Mus musculus: one gene and its partners. The protein of the gene in region 4 interacts with the protein of the main gene of each other region in a pairwise test. Links are inferred from orthologs where the notes say so. Each region holds a gene or a part of one and is shown on either strand. Other genes may lie near its edges.

The links.
Region 1: the proteins of Homer3 (region 4) and Fryl interact in binary tests that used the Homo sapiens proteins (3 or more experiments, as listed by UniProt). The two-hybrid records come from large-scale screens. The link is inferred for Mus musculus from reciprocal best matches to the Homo sapiens genes HOMER3 and FRYL.
Region 2: the proteins of Homer3 (region 4) and Eif3d interact in binary tests that used the Homo sapiens proteins (3 or more experiments, as listed by UniProt). The two-hybrid records come from large-scale screens. The link is inferred for Mus musculus from reciprocal best matches to the Homo sapiens genes HOMER3 and EIF3D.
Region 3: the proteins of Homer3 (region 4) and Eaf1 interact in binary tests that used the Homo sapiens proteins (3 or more experiments, as listed by UniProt). The two-hybrid records come from large-scale screens. The link is inferred for Mus musculus from reciprocal best matches to the Homo sapiens genes HOMER3 and EAF1.

What each region holds. Positions count from the first base shown.
Region 1 is NC_000071.6:73,096,119-73,099,618, reverse strand, and holds part of Fryl (protein furry homolog-like), read left to right. Parts: intron 1-1,191; coding exon 1,192-1,460; intron 1,461-2,049; coding exon 2,050-2,245; intron 2,246-3,220; coding exon 3,221-3,345; intron 3,346-3,500. UniProt on the Homo sapiens protein: Plays a key role in maintaining the integrity of polarized cell extensions during morphogenesis, regulates the actin cytoskeleton and plays a key role in patterning sensory neuron dendritic fields by promoting avoidance between homologous dendrites as well as by limiting dendritic branching.
Region 2 is NC_000081.6:77,964,325-77,967,824, forward strand, and holds part of Eif3d (eukaryotic translation initiation factor 3 subunit D), read right to left. Parts: intron 3,116-3,500; coding exon 2,979-3,115; intron 2,444-2,978; coding exon 2,358-2,443; intron 1,887-2,357; coding exon 1,814-1,886; intron 692-1,813; coding exon 579-691; intron 1-578. UniProt on the Homo sapiens protein: mRNA cap-binding component of the eukaryotic translation initiation factor 3 (eIF-3) complex, a complex required for several steps in the initiation of protein synthesis of a specialized repertoire of mRNAs.
Region 3 is NC_000080.6:31,498,079-31,501,578, reverse strand, and holds part of Eaf1 (ELL-associated factor 1), read right to left. Parts: intron 1,460-3,500; coding exon 1,323-1,459; intron 1-1,322. UniProt on the Homo sapiens protein: Acts as a transcriptional transactivator of ELL and ELL2 elongation activities.
Region 4 is NC_000074.6:70,281,829-70,285,798, reverse strand, and holds the start of Homer3 (homer protein homolog 3), read right to left. Parts: upstream 2,801-3,970; 5' UTR 2,788-2,800; coding exon of another isoform or gene 2,699-2,787; exon of another isoform or gene 2,275-2,698; intron 566-2,274; coding exon of another isoform or gene 498-565; coding exon 484-497; intron 406-483; coding exon 249-405; intron 1-248. UniProt on the Homo sapiens protein: Postsynaptic density scaffolding protein. Binds and cross-links cytoplasmic regions of GRM1, GRM5, ITPR1, DNM3, RYR1, RYR2, SHANK1 and SHANK3.

The DNA.
Region 1 (3,500 bases), on a different chromosome or scaffold from region 4:
GGAAATCTTGGATTTCTTTGCTTTATTCAGTGAATATTTTCATTTGCTTTTTGAAGTTAAATAGTATGATAACACGTAGAGAAACATTTTGTCAGCAAACACATTACAAAAAAAAAAAATGATGGTATAAATTTCTTTATTTCTCCTCTCCGTCTTCTTCTATCCTTTCTATCTCCTCGGTTTGGAATAGAATCCAGGGACATATCCAGCGTAAGGCATGCAAACTTCTTTTAGTTTTATGGAGTGTGGGTGGGAAGGGGAGGGGAGTCAGGAGTCCGAGGTTGGAACGGGACCAACGGTGACAGTCACGGCTTGGATGGTTAATTCTCCCATTTTGGATTATGTGGATGAAAGAGTTATTTATTTCTGCCCAACACCTGGTTCTTATAACTCATTTGTTCTACACAACATAAAGCAGATAATAATAAAGTTTTATAAGCCTAATACATGATTTAAAATGCACACAGTTAAAAGAATCGTGGTTTAGGTCACTATCTATGTATTATGGTAACAAATAGAATAATAAGTGGCTTATTTTTGGTTTGGTTTGGTTTTTTTGAGACAGAATTTCCTCTGTGTAGCCCTGGCTGTCCTGGAACTCACTTTGTAGACCAGGCTGGCCTCGAACTCAGAAATCACCTGCCTCCGCCTCCCAAGTGCTGGGATTAAAGGGGTGCAACACCACTGCTCAGCAATAAGTGGCTTAATAATGCCTTAAAGAGTGCTTAATGAATGAAATGTAAAAAAGATGGATCTTAATTTCTTTAAGAATCTGAATGTTAAGGAACAAATATTTAATGATGCGCACCTCTGGCGACAGCTCACATTATAGAATGCGCCATTTCGTTGGGACAAAAGTTAATGGGTTTTGTTCTATTTCTGAAGAGTTCCGTGGACTCAGGAAAGTTGGGTATTCACACGGGAATCACGTAAGCTGTGGATCTTACCCTTCTTGGTCCATACAGCCTTTTGAGAATAGTGAAAGCTACAACATATCTCTCTTGAGGATAACCCGGTGGAAATGTCAGAGACGCATTCCTTCCTTAAACCTAGCTTCAGCCACATTCCATGTCTTCTATTCCAGAAAGCACCAATAGTCCACTTCCCAAATAAAGCACCTCTTTTAGACAACCTTTGAAAGTTACTCAGATGCGTGATAATCATTTGTGCGCTCTCTCTTTCTCTCTCTAGACTACTTTGCTGTATTGCCCTAGCTCTGTAGATCTGCAGACATTAGCAGATTGGAACTCTTCTCCCATCAGCCACCAGTTTGATGTGATCAGCCCCTCACACATTTGGATATTTGCACATGTGACCCAAGGCCAAGACCCATGGATTATAAGTCTCTCCAGTTTCCTAAAGCAAGAAAACCTTCCCAAACACTGCTCTACAGCCGTGAGCTATGCGTGGATGTTCGCATACACCAGGCTGCAGCTCTTGTCCCCCCAGGTGGATATAAAGTAAGTGCTTTGAATAAAGCACATTTCACAATGGGTAGTCAGCTTTCATGATGTGTGCTTTTGAAAAGTGGCACACACTGGAAATTCTCTGAGTTGTGTTATAATATGGAGCATGGAAAAGGCGTGAAGGCTATAAACTCATAGAGCTCTCTGTCCTACCCATTCTGTCCCACATGATAGGCCTCGAATACTTTATTCATGTCTCTCTCTGGTCCTTCCACAGAGACTGAGTACTTGCAATAAAACTTTATAATAGCAATGTCCTTTTAAATTGGTACATAAAAACTTTCTAAATGTGTGTGCACTTGATAGTTGCTGAAGAGAGAGAGTCACTCGGTTGAGGGCATGACTACTGGTAGGTGCTCCAGTCAGTGCTCACATGTGAGCAGTGGTAACTGGACCTGGGGGATGGGTTTATTAATAACGGGAAAAGAGGAAGACAAAGTTGGGAGGGCAACAGTGTGGTAGACGGACGGAGGCAATGATGGGTAAATATAAACAAGGTGCATTGAGTTGTGAAATTTTCAAATAAAATTATTACTTAAGGAAGACGTGTGCGATTTCTACTTCTTTTCTTTTTTTTTTCCAGTAGCCCCATCAATGCTAAGAAAGTAAATGCCACCACGAGCAGCGACTCGTACATTGGCCTGTGGAGAAACTACCTGGTCCTCTGCTGCAGCGCAGCCACCTCCCCGTCCCCATCAGCACCCGCAGGCTCCGTGAGATGCTCTCCTCCCGAGACGCTGGCGTCCACCCCTGACAGTGGCTACAGCATCGATTCCAAGGTGGGCCTTTCTCATCCTCTGTGGAATCCCAGGGATTCCACCAGAGGGATGTCTTAAGTTTCTTCTCATGGAAAACATCATAAAGAGCTTGAAGAATTCATCTTTCATTTTCACTGGGTGGGGGGGAAAGTACTTCAAGAAATTCTATTTTTATTTTTGTAGATTCCTAGTTAGAATCAAGAATAAGAGGTTTTTCCCTTGGCTAAAGGGATCACATTCATAGAAATAGCATACTGAATGTTTTAAAGGAAGTCATAAGGCATGTTTCTTCTTACTCTGCCTCCCAAGCCATTACACTTCCCATTGCCAACAGGAGTCATTCATTCATTTATTAGTTCATTGATTTGCTCATTCATTCATTTGTTAGTTTTATGAGACAAGTTTCACCTATAACCCAGGCTGGCTGAGAACTTAACTGTGCGACCTGAGCTAGCCTCAGACTTCCAGCAGTCTTCCTGTCTTAGCCGCCCCAGTCCTGGGATTACAGGAGTGAATGTCCATACCTTGTTCCAGAAAACATGATCTAAGTACTTAGATGCTCTTACAGAACTTGCCTAAATGACACAAGAACACAGTGGCTATCGGAGACGAACCATTAAATAGACTTCATGGTAGGAAGCGAGGCATCATGGCATGGTTGAAGGAAACTGAGTGTCCGGATTTTGTCTTTCTGTGTTTGTGGCTCTAAAGACAGGAAACCTCTGGCTGGGTCCATGGACTGTTATGTGGTGCTGGGTCTTCCTCTAAGAAGTACAGAGACCCACACACAAGTTCTGTGAATGAACTTGAAGTAAGCCAACAAGCAAGCCATTTAGCTTTTCTAGGTTCCGTACACTGAAAACTAAGTTTGATTCAGCATTCTTGTTTGCCACAAAAAATGTCATCTATTCATTGTCTTTGACCACAGGTTGTTGAAATGTCAGGTTATTTCGCTGGCTATGTAATTGTTAATGCCATTCTGATTTTTTCCCTCAGATCGTTGGCATCCCGTCCCCTTCTTCCCTGTTTAAGCACATAGTTCCAATGATGCGCTCTGAGAGCATGGAGATCACAGAGTCCCTCGTTCTAGGCCTCGGCAGGACCAACCCGGGAGTCTTTAGGTAACTTTCTTCTTACGTTCTCTCTGTGATAGAATAAAAAGTGTGCCCATAAGCGAGGCGGAGCAGGATGGAATAGAGGCTAAGTTTCCTTCCAGCCCTGACTTCTCCACTTTGCCATGCAGATGGCAAGTCAGTACATTTGAGCCATCTCTTTC
Region 2 (3,500 bases), on a different chromosome or scaffold from region 4:
GGAGGGTCCATCTCAGAAAATAAACTTCACCCAGAAGTTCAGTATATATGAAAGAGACAGCATTAATCCCTCTGAAAATGAGACAAATCTTTAGTGTTAGTTTAGTTTCCTGTCTTCGCAGCTCCCAATGTTCCTCTGTAGAACACAGGGAAAGACCTTACACAGTGAACCTTCCCTGGGAAACTGAGCCCATTATAGAGGCACCCAGATAGATCGACTTCTGGGTTGAAGCTCTGGCTCTCCACTGACTTAGCTCTATGTCCTTGCCCTCTAGTGTACGATGCTACACAAAATGGAGTCTCCTGAACAACTGTCACGCCTCTCCTGCTGCAGGAGCTTAGTGACTGAACTACTGGGCTTTTTCTCGGATGCCAAAAGTGGAAAGAAACTGGGACTTTTTTAGTAAACAATGCATTTTTTAAAGTGGGTCTTGATCTTTCAAAAACATACCCACCAGTCCATAGCACTGTAAGTGGCTTCAAATCTGCTTTGGAGTTGCTAGGACTTAAGGAGACACTGATCCCTGGCAGGCAGACAGACTCTGAAACAGGGTGGGCACCAGGGAAGAAGCTACTCACATGTCTTGAGGCTCTGACACTTCCAAGTAGCGCATCTTCATCAGCTGAGGGAAGTCCATCTCCTCCTTCACCTCCCAGTCACTGCGAACTTCAACTGAGGAGTCTCGGGGTTTCTGCAGAGGAAACACAGGAAGATCTTCATATCCTACGCAAATAGCAAAAGACAGAGTGACATGGGAAGGGCTTTCATTCAATCATTATGGTCCCGGATGTTTTTTTTTTTTAAGTTCATTGTATTTATTTGATCTCTGGGTTCTCTGCTGCATGTACACCTGCAGGCCAGATGAGGGCGTCAGATCCCTTTATAGATGGGCATGAGCCACCACCTGGGTGTTGGGAATTGAACTCAGGACCTCTGGAAGAGCAGCCAGTGCTCTAAAAAGCTGAGTCATCTCATTAGTCTGGTCCTGGCTGTTTTTAAGCAGGGCCCGTGACTCCTGGCAGCTCAGAGAAGGAAGCAGGGCCTCAGCATGGGGCTTCTCAGGGTGTCAAGCACACGCCCGATACAGCAAGCAGCTAAGTCAACCTGCACCTTCACGACTTTATCACCCTACAACACTCGGCAGTGAAGCCGCGATTCTGTGCCCGAAAAGCAGCTGCTTTGCTGTTGGCAACACTCCTAGCCCAAACTCCACTTCTGGTCATGTCTGTTATGCTCACAGCTCCCACAAAGATGGCAGTGTTATACCTAACAGTGCCAAAGTGGAAAGATGAATGGCTGAAGGAAATGTGGCAACCCATACAAAAAAACCACTCTTGGGCAAAAAGACTCCATGTTTGTGAGCTTTATACCAGCAGGTCTATAACCAGTCACATGTAAACTGAAAATTCTTGGATGCTCAGCATACTGGAAATCCCACCTACTGGGTGGCTGACAGAGGAGGATCACCCGAGAGTTAAAATGATACTTTCAACCCAAATATATAATCCAGAGGCAAGCTAAAGTCCACGAGGGGACACACATGAGATACATGCAGAGAAGGTCAGTGCACACAAATCTTGATCTCTGAGGGTACCTGGAACCAATCCTTAACAGACATGAAGGAAAAGTGAAAAGACTGTGCTAACACGGGCTGCGATATGATCTTAAAAGTGGCACACTAACTAAAGGGCACAGAGTATGATCCTATTGTACATGAAATGCCCGCGGGCATCAGGGGAGTCCCGAGACATCTCTCAAGGTCAAAGAAAACAAACCCCTCCAAGTCCCCACAGAGTCCCTAGAGGGACACTACCTGTGACTTCTGGTCCCATTTTTGCCTCACTCCAAATTGCTTCTGGAATTTTTTCTGCAAGCGAATTCGTTCTCTGAAAAGACAGACAAAATGCTGTGATTTCAGTGTCGGCTTCTAGCTGAATCGCATCATCCTTCCTAGCTGCTACCAGGATAGAAAATAGGGGCTTAGATGTAGAACACACTGGGGATTCGAGCAGAGGCGCACTACTAGTATCAACCAGCATTCAGCCCAGTTACTCCCATGGCAGCCCTGGCTAGGGTGCAGTGGCTGCTGTGCCCAGCCCCAAGGGCCCACAGGATATAGCATAAGTGGTGCTGCCTGAAACCAGGCATCCAGAATGTAGAGGCCACAGAGCCACTTCAAATGTCCGCCTCACCCACCTCCTGTCTGTCTGCCATTGCCCAGTCTTGGGCAGCAATAGGTGAGGAGGTTTTGCTTTCTTTTTCAAGAGTGAAAGATAGCCAGTCCCTGCCCTGCTCTGTGATTTTGAGTACAGCCCATTTGGGAACATAACTCTGACTTGGCAGGAAGGGACGCTCACCTCTCTTTCTGCTTGGCACTCTTGGGCAGGGTCTGTAGGTTGAACTGCACCATGTTCCTCCGATCTTTGTCTCTGCGGAGGTTGCGCTGGGGAGCAGGAAGAGACCCATGTTAGCCCCTCGGAGACAAGGCTCATGGTATCTTGAGAGTAAGTTTACGGCGTGAGTTCTAAGTTTCACATCTCTTTACTTTTACTCTACAGCGACTACAGAATTTGGGCTAAGGGGAGTAGCACTTGTGTTAGCTTGGACTGTCATTCCCACTTTAATGTGGGTTTACTAGTTTTATTGGAGTTGCAAAGTTTGCAACATTATGTAGCAGGAGGCACCCTACCAAACCATGTAATTAACAAAGGTTGTACATGACAAGTCAGCAAGGCACTGGGTTCCCAGCACAGCTGTGTGATGTCTGAACTACTGTGAACAAAAATCTAAACTCCTTCAATGTATTCCTAGACCCGTTTCACATTATTCTGACACAACTGGTCACTAAACTGCCACTTGGGATTGGCCAAAGGTCTGTAAGCCTTTCCTTTCTCATCAGTATTCCCAAGATGGCGGCTGAGCAGCAGGAACTTCTGCTCTCAGTGAGAGCTGAGTGTGGGCTGCCAGCCGTGGCCTACCTGTGCGAATCTCATCCGGTTCCGCTGGTAGGCGGTCTTCTGTGTCCGTGCCGTGTCCACCAGCTGGAAGCTTGTCTCATCCTCCTCATGGAAATATGCATACTGACTTCCCCCACCGAACTGAGAGGAATACTTGTCTGCAGGCAAAGGTGACAGTGTGTGCTAAGTGCTACCTACACAGTGAGTGTCGTGCTCATGGTGCATGCCAGGCTTCGACCCCACTCGCCTAAGTGTGCTCCTGACCTGAAGCACTGGCCAGAAGCTTGTGAGATGGGTAGACTCACCGCCCCTGCCCAGACCTGACAGATGGGAACCTGTATTTAAACATGCTCTCAGGTGATTCATGATTCACACTCACATTTAAGGTTTAAGAGCTTGGGTCTAAACAACTTACCAAGAGCCCAAGGATGCCACTACCCCGCTGTACCTCTGCGTGGTCATGTAAGAATCTGAGCTGTACCACCACCCCAGCCATCACCCAGAGCTGCGGACACAGCCTTCCACCCCGACAGCCTCTTTTGG
Region 3 (3,500 bases), on a different chromosome or scaffold from region 4:
CAACTTCTGTAACCCCCAGTCTCCAAAAGAATAGCACTTTTCTACGACTACTGGAAAAGATTAGGTGTGTTACACCTAAAACATACTGGCCCACGATAATCTCAATAAATGGGGGCTGTTTCCTTTTCTAGAGAAATGAGGGAAAGAAAAACAGAAACAGACATCAAGCTGCAATAGTCTCTTAAAATCTAATTAGTGTTCTGTGAGAAGGAGGGGGAGGGGAGGACTGAGAGGAGAGGAGGGAGGGGAACTGTGACTGGGATGTAAAAAAAAAATATACACACACACACACACACACATATATATATATATTTTAATGAAGAAAACCCCCTCTCTTTAGTGGACTTGTGATTTTGCTCAGTGGTGAGGGCACTCGCCTATCATGTGCAAAGCTCTCTCTCTGCATTTGATGCCTAGTGCCCTCCCCGACAAAAACCTTAATCATTATCTTACAATAATTATTGTATTCCAGTTATAGAATATATTGACTTTCAAATAAACTCTAATATTGAATGAACCCAAAAGTTCACTATTTTAAAAGTAGGAAAGGTTTTTTTTTGGTTATTGTTTTTAAGTTTTTAAAATTATAGTTGTATTTATGCTAGGTCTTCTACCACGTGAGTCCTGAAGACTGAACTCAAGTCATTAGACTTGGTGGCAAACGCCTTTATTCACTTAGCAATCTTGCAAGACCACTGTTATTTGTTTTTGTTTTGACACAGGGTCTCCTGCAATTCAGACCAGCTTCAAAGTCACTCTGCAGCTGTAGAGGGCCTTGAACTCTTGATCCTGGTGCGCCAACTCTCCAGTACTGCACTTACAGTAGGACCCACCATACATAGTAGACGACGTTTCATTTTGATAGTATAGGCACATCAAATATATCCTAATTTACAAGCAGTAATTTAATAAGGTCATGCAATTATTATTTTGTATTTTTCAGTCTATACATATAAACTGAATCCCCTACTTGATAGTATAAGAGCAGTTATGAGTCTGACAAAATTGGCTCAATTATAAATACCCTGTTCTCCCCAAAGGCTTCATGTTTTAGCTTTCAAAAGCATTATTTCTTTTTACTGTATTTGAAAAAAATGTACATTTTATTATTGATGTATCTGAGACAGGAGTGGCTAATATTACTGATTGAACACTAATGAGCAAGGAGATGTTCACACTCTTATAAAACTGGACTGAATGCCATAAAGATTTCGAAACACTTAAGGCTATTCTTTAGGAGAACGGGCACCTGCCAGCACAGGAGACCCCGGTTTCAATCCCTACAGTACAAGAGGAAGGGAGAACGCGGAGGTTGGCCATACCTTGTCTTCTTGACCTGAATGCTGCTGCTCAGCTTCTCCAGCACATACTCTCCAGTGTCGTGGTTAATAATGAGCACACAGTCTTTCTGATAGGGCCGCTTGTTCCCTTTGAACACCGTCATTGGCGGCGTGGACCCCTGTTTGCCACAAAAGTATAAGATAAATACACCAATTACGAACGGTCCCCTAATCCATCATCAGACCTGCGCAGAAGGGGCAGATGACTGATCTCTGTCTGACTCCCCCAGCTTTCCAGGCAAAAGAAAGGAGCAGTTATAGTAAGCACCTGGTTTTAGGGATTCAAGAAATAGAACATAAAAACTTTAAGCTACTAGGCAACTCTTTACTAATGTGGGCAAATAGTTCAAAGAACAGCAATGCCCAAACTGAGGACAATTCACCTTGCCCTACACTACACAGAGCTATTACTAACTGGTTAGAGGAGGGAGTGATCTTTGTATTTCTTTGTAATGGAAGAGCCCAGGGCTTCCCCTTCATGCAAATAACCCAGGCAGCTTTCTCCAAGGGTGGCCAGCCCTTCAGCTGAGTGAGTGGAGCCCATGTTACTTAGCCATCACCCCAAGCCTTTCAATGGCTCCCATGCTGCTCGCAAGGCAAAGGATAATGAATTTAAGGCAGGGCCTGACCCCACCACCCATCTCTGGGCTCTGAGGTCTTTAGGAAGTAAGAGGCTCTTTTTCCTGCTTCAGGGCTGAAACTGGCCTTCTGCCTGCTATATTTTGACACTATGTAAATTACTCGATCTTCTGTTAAGTTCAAATAACTCTTCTCTGGTTTTCCACAAGTGTTTATTTTGGTTTGGTTTTGAAACAGGGTCTCACGTAGCCCATGCTAGCCTTATACTCTCAACCACCTTGCTTCCACCTCTCAAAGGCTAGGATTACAGGAAAGCATCGTATCCAGCAGCTACTATATATTCCTATATTTAAATTCCAGACCCTAAGCTGCACAACATCAGGAAATGTACTCATTTGGTTTAAAGTTAATTCTTAGAGCCCACTAATGGGCTCCTACACTGGACACTGATTTAATATTTGTTAAATATAAGATTTAACTTGTTGTTCAGAATTTATAGAAGCACAAAACAAAACAACAGCAAACTAAATTGCTTGGCTCTTCAGCCCCTTAACTGCACAGTAGAAACTTAAGTCTGAAGGGTGCATAGGGACCATGTACCTAACCCCTTCATTTTTCACTTGGGAAACTCAGGTCCAATGGGAGATGATGTAATCTTCCATGGGCAACATGTAATGAAACAGGAGTTCAGATGAAAAGGCTGTTCCCTCTGCTCCAGGGCTTCCAGGTTTGCTGCAGTCTGCACTCTGTCACCAGTTACAGAACTTGCTGTGTCTGAGGACAGAGCCGTGACACGTACTAAGGAGCTTTTCTAGTCTAACTGTTTTCTGTTTATTTCTTCTGTGTGTGTGTGCATGTACACGTGTTTTCTCGTGTTTTCTGTGTGTGGGCAGAAATAGGTACAGGTGCATGTGTGTATCTACATGCACCTAAAAGCCCAAAGCTGACATCAGGCTCCCTCCTCAATCACTCTCCACTTTTCTTTTTTGAGGCAGGTTCTTTTGCTCAATCCAACTAAGTCTAGCTAGACAGCTTGCCCAGGGGATACCATGTCCTTATCTGTGACTGTGGGCTCACAGCAGCTGCCATGTCTGCCATGGTTTTTACATGGGTTCTGAGGCACCCAAACTCCAGTCCTCCTGCTTGAGTACTTCATTTCCTCAAGCCATCTCCCCAGCCCAAGGTGTCGTGAACGCAAACACAGGTCTCCCTTCTGTTTTCCTTTGGCTGAACTGGGAATTGACCCTAAGACCTCATGCGTGCAAGGCAAGACCTCTATCACTGAGCTACCACCCCAGACTCACAGTGCTGCCCTGAAGAGAGCCTTACAGTACAAAGTCTTTTCTTCCAAGTCTTTGGTGCAGCTTTTAACTGAGTTCTTCACCCCTAAATTAGCTGAGTGTTCCAAACTTTGGTTCCTGCCTAGGACCATCAGCCTGCACCGGATCCCTTACTAAATATAGAGATGTCACTCTGGCTCCTGGCCTGCCTTCTGGCTGTTCTATGTTCAGGAGCTGCTATTGCTATGCAGGGCACATAGGGCCCTTTTCTCCAGAACTGCTTGGGATAAGTGTTATATAT
Region 4 (3,970 bases):
CTAGGCATCTGTCTTAGTAGCTAATCCCTACCTAGGATCCCCCAGTGAGGAGCTATCGGAAGGCATACAGGTGGAGCCCCTGCCTAGAATCCCCCAGTGAAGGGCTGCAGTAGAACTCTTGTCCCTTCTCGGAGACCCCACCACTGAGTTATTTCTGGAAGACGTTAGGTCTGGGAAAGGATCGTTGATTCCCAAGTCACCCAGCCTGGCTGGTGGCTGCACACCTGCCCCCAAACCCCTGCTCAGACCTTGGCACCCCCGATGCTGATGATGCGGTACACATTTCGGGTTGCATCATAGAAATAGGACACGGTAAGTGCGTGCTTGCCGGCGGGGATCCAGTTCCGCTTTGTAGTGGGGTCGATCTGGAATACGTGCGCCCGGGTGCTGAAGATTGGCTGTTCCCTACAGCAGGGACAGAAACTCTGCAGGAGTCTGATGCCACCCAGGGGCAAGGCCAGACCAGAGTGGGTGAGTGCTCACCTGGCTGTGGACATTGGTCAGGTTGGGCTGGATGGCCTCTAAGGGGCACCCAGAGGGGTGACAGGAGTCACTTGTTTGTCCCCTAGGGAAAGAAGAAGATTGTGAGTAAGGCTCCAAGGATACTCAGGCCAAGTGGGTCCTCCAGGTGACTTCACAAAACCAGCGAGGCAGGAAAGGAGCAGCTGCTGGTCAGACACCCACTTCCTCAGTCCCAGCCCAGACTGGCCTTGAAATCACTTTGCAGCCAACAGCAACCTTGAACTCTTGATCCTCTGGCCTCCACCTCCTAAATGCTGGGACGGCAGCTTGTGCCATCATTCTTGGTTCATGTGGTGCTGAGGATGGAGCCCAGAGCATCCTGCATCCCATGCAAGCTCTCTATCAACTGAGCTGTAGGCATAAACAAAAGGCCCTGCTTTTGGGAGAAGCCCCCACAACTGGACTGAGTGATCTCTAGATCTCTAGTGTCACCAGAGAGGTGATACAGTGCCACCAAACTGCAAGGGTAGGTAGGATATGGCTTGGAGAATAGCCTGGTTGTTGGCACGCAGGATTATACTCACTGTCCAGGTTACCCACCACTGGGCAAGTGTCCTCCCACAGGAACTGAACATGAGGTCAAGATCAACCGAGTGGAACATCTCATTCATCCCCTCCCATCCAACAGCCCCCCTCTCCTCCCAGAGGGCCTTGCATCAAAATGTGGGACAAAGCTGGATCCGTGGTGAGGCCCTGTGGTTTTATCTATCTGAAAGCCAAGGCGGTTAGATCATGCATCCCAGGAGTTCAAGGCCTCCCTGGTCATCATGGAGGGATAAACCCATCTCAAGGAGTAAAAGTGGAGTGCTTCCAGGGACCTAACAGGAAAATCAGGACCTCGCTGATCCCACAAATGGACCACTTCGGGGCTGAAGAGATGGTTCAGTGGGTAAGAGCACTGACTGCTCTTCCAGAGGTCCTGAGTTCAATTCCCAGCAACCACATAGTGGCTCATAGCCATCTGTAATGGGATTGGATGCCCTGTTCTGATGTGTCTGAAGACAGCTACAGTGTACTTGTATAAATAAAATAAATAACTCTAGGAAGGAAGGGAGGGAGGGAGGGAGGGAGGGAGGGAGAGAGAGAGAGAGGAGAGAGAGAGAGAGAGAGAGAGAGAGAGAGAGAGAGAGAGAGAGAGAGAGAGAGAGAGAGAGAGAGAGAGAGAGAGAGAGAGAGAGGAGAGAGAGAGAAAGGACCACTTAGCCCAGATAACTCTGTGTCTGAGTCTCCAGGGAGCTTACTTAAAAGGAAAAAATGAAAGCCTGGTATGGTGGCACCAGCACTGGGGAGAATGAGGAGACTTTGAAGCCAACCTGGGCTACAGAGTGGGACCATGTCTCAACGCACAGGCACACACACACACACAAGCACGCATTGCACACAGCGGTTCATCCTAGTCCCCACCATGTGAACAGGGAACAGGACCGGGAGAACGGAGCTCCCCAGCCTCCTATGAACGCTTGCACCTGTCATTCTCCTAAGTCCCCCAAATTTCAACTAAGGAGATTGGAGGAGAAGGAGGGTCCTGCGGGTGCGGGAGGTCAAGACCCGGGGTCTGAGGTCAGGGCCCCTCCAAGCTGTCTTGGGAAGCTGCGAAACCTAAGTTCCCATACAGAGGGAGGGTAGGGGGGTTGTCCAGTCAGAGACGCTAATGGAACTGGCGGAGATTGGGGGAAAGGGGTCCCCGAACCCAGGCCCTTCCGGTCGGACCACTCCTGCCTGGACTTGCCACCATCAGGAAAAGTTACTCACTGAGTAGTCACGCGCCTTGGAGCAGAGGCGCGGGGCGGAGAACCGCGATCGCGCGCGGCGGGGACCCTGCCAGGAGCCCCACGCCGGCTTCCCATTTGGCACCGGTTCCCACTCCCTCCAGGGCAGCTCGTGAGGGCAACTACGGGAGCCGCTGACCCGCAACTTCTAAGTGGCGGAGCCTCGCGATGCGGCGTCCCCAACACCCGGACCTCGGCTGAGGAACCCGGTGAAGACGCGCCCCGCGCCCCAGCCAGCACCTGAGCCGGCCCCCTAGCCGGCACCCCAGGATCCCAACCCCTCAGCCTGCACCCCGCAGCTCCTGGGCCCCGCCTCACAGTCCGCAACTTTGGAAACCGTCTGCGTTTCCTGCGCCCCCGACTCCCTGATTGTGCCTCGGAAGCTGGGGTCCCCCTGTCTGGCTCACCCCGCGTCGTCGTCGCTGCAGCCTCCGGCCCGCGCCCTCCGCGCGCCCCGCGCCGCCCGCGCCTTTGTCTGCGCCGCCTCCGGTCCCATCGCGGCCAGTCCCCGCGCCGCCCCGCCTCTGCCCAGCGCCCCCTGCTGGCCAGCTACGGAGGGCGGGGAAGAGGGAGGGGACCCCGAGAGGGAAGAAGAGGAGGGCGGACATGGAGGGGGGAGTTGGGCGGGGTGAAAGGGCAGAGGAAGGGGAGGGCACCAGGAGGTCAAGAGGAGGAACTTCTGAAGGGGGGACCCAGTGGGAGGCAACTGAAGGAAGTGGGGAGGGCGTGGCTTTTGAAGGAGGGGGAGGGGCCCATAAAGTCTGGGGCTGGGATCAGAGGGATTAAGGGCAGGGGCCTAGGATCAGGCAGAGTACTGGACAGAGGGGAGGGATCCAGGAGGGCAGCGGAGAGAGACAGAAGGTGACTGCGGACAAAGACAGCGGGGTGGGGAGAGGGGTGGAAGAGGAGGGTCTGTCTGGATCGGCCTTGGGGCAGAGCATTGGACTGATGGGCTGAAGGCTGAGAAGACAAAAGTGTGGGTGTTAGATGGGTGGTAGCGGGCCAGGGTGTGAAGACAGAGGCAGAAGTCCTGGAGTGTGATCTGGTGACCCAGAGATAGGGAGAAACACGGAAAATGGGTGGACAACGACCCTTCGCTTTCCTGCCTCCTACCAAGGGTGGCCCTGAGTCTTCATGTGGCTTCTTCGAAAAGAAAAAGTTCCTGGACCCTCAGCAACTGAAGCATGAAGACAGCTTGAGCCCAGCTCCCCAAAACGAAGGTGGGGGTGGGACTGCAAATCAGTGTGTAACGCCCTCGTCAAGCGTCTGTGGTGCCCTGGGCTCCATCCTAATTCCCACGAAAAGAACAAGCAGGCAAATCTCTGTGAATTCTAGGCTAGATTGGTCTATATAGTGAGTTCTAAGCCATCTAGGGCCACATAGTGAGACCCTGACTTTCAAAAATAAATTCTGGGAGTAACTAGGTTATTGTTACAGAGTCTTAGGATCCAAGTGTCCTCTTAGTGTTGTCTTCCAATGAAATGGACAAACTCCCTGCAGCTCTGTAGGCTGAGTCCTGCCTCTGTCCACAGCCACAGCAGCCCGCCGAGGATCCTTCAGGGGATCACCTATCTGCCAGTGGGTCCCTAGCCCTGTGGCAAATCCCTTGCTGCACTTTTCTAGAAATTTCTGCAAGGGTTTCCGTGTTCTGGGGACAAATGGCTGTGTCCGAATCAGAG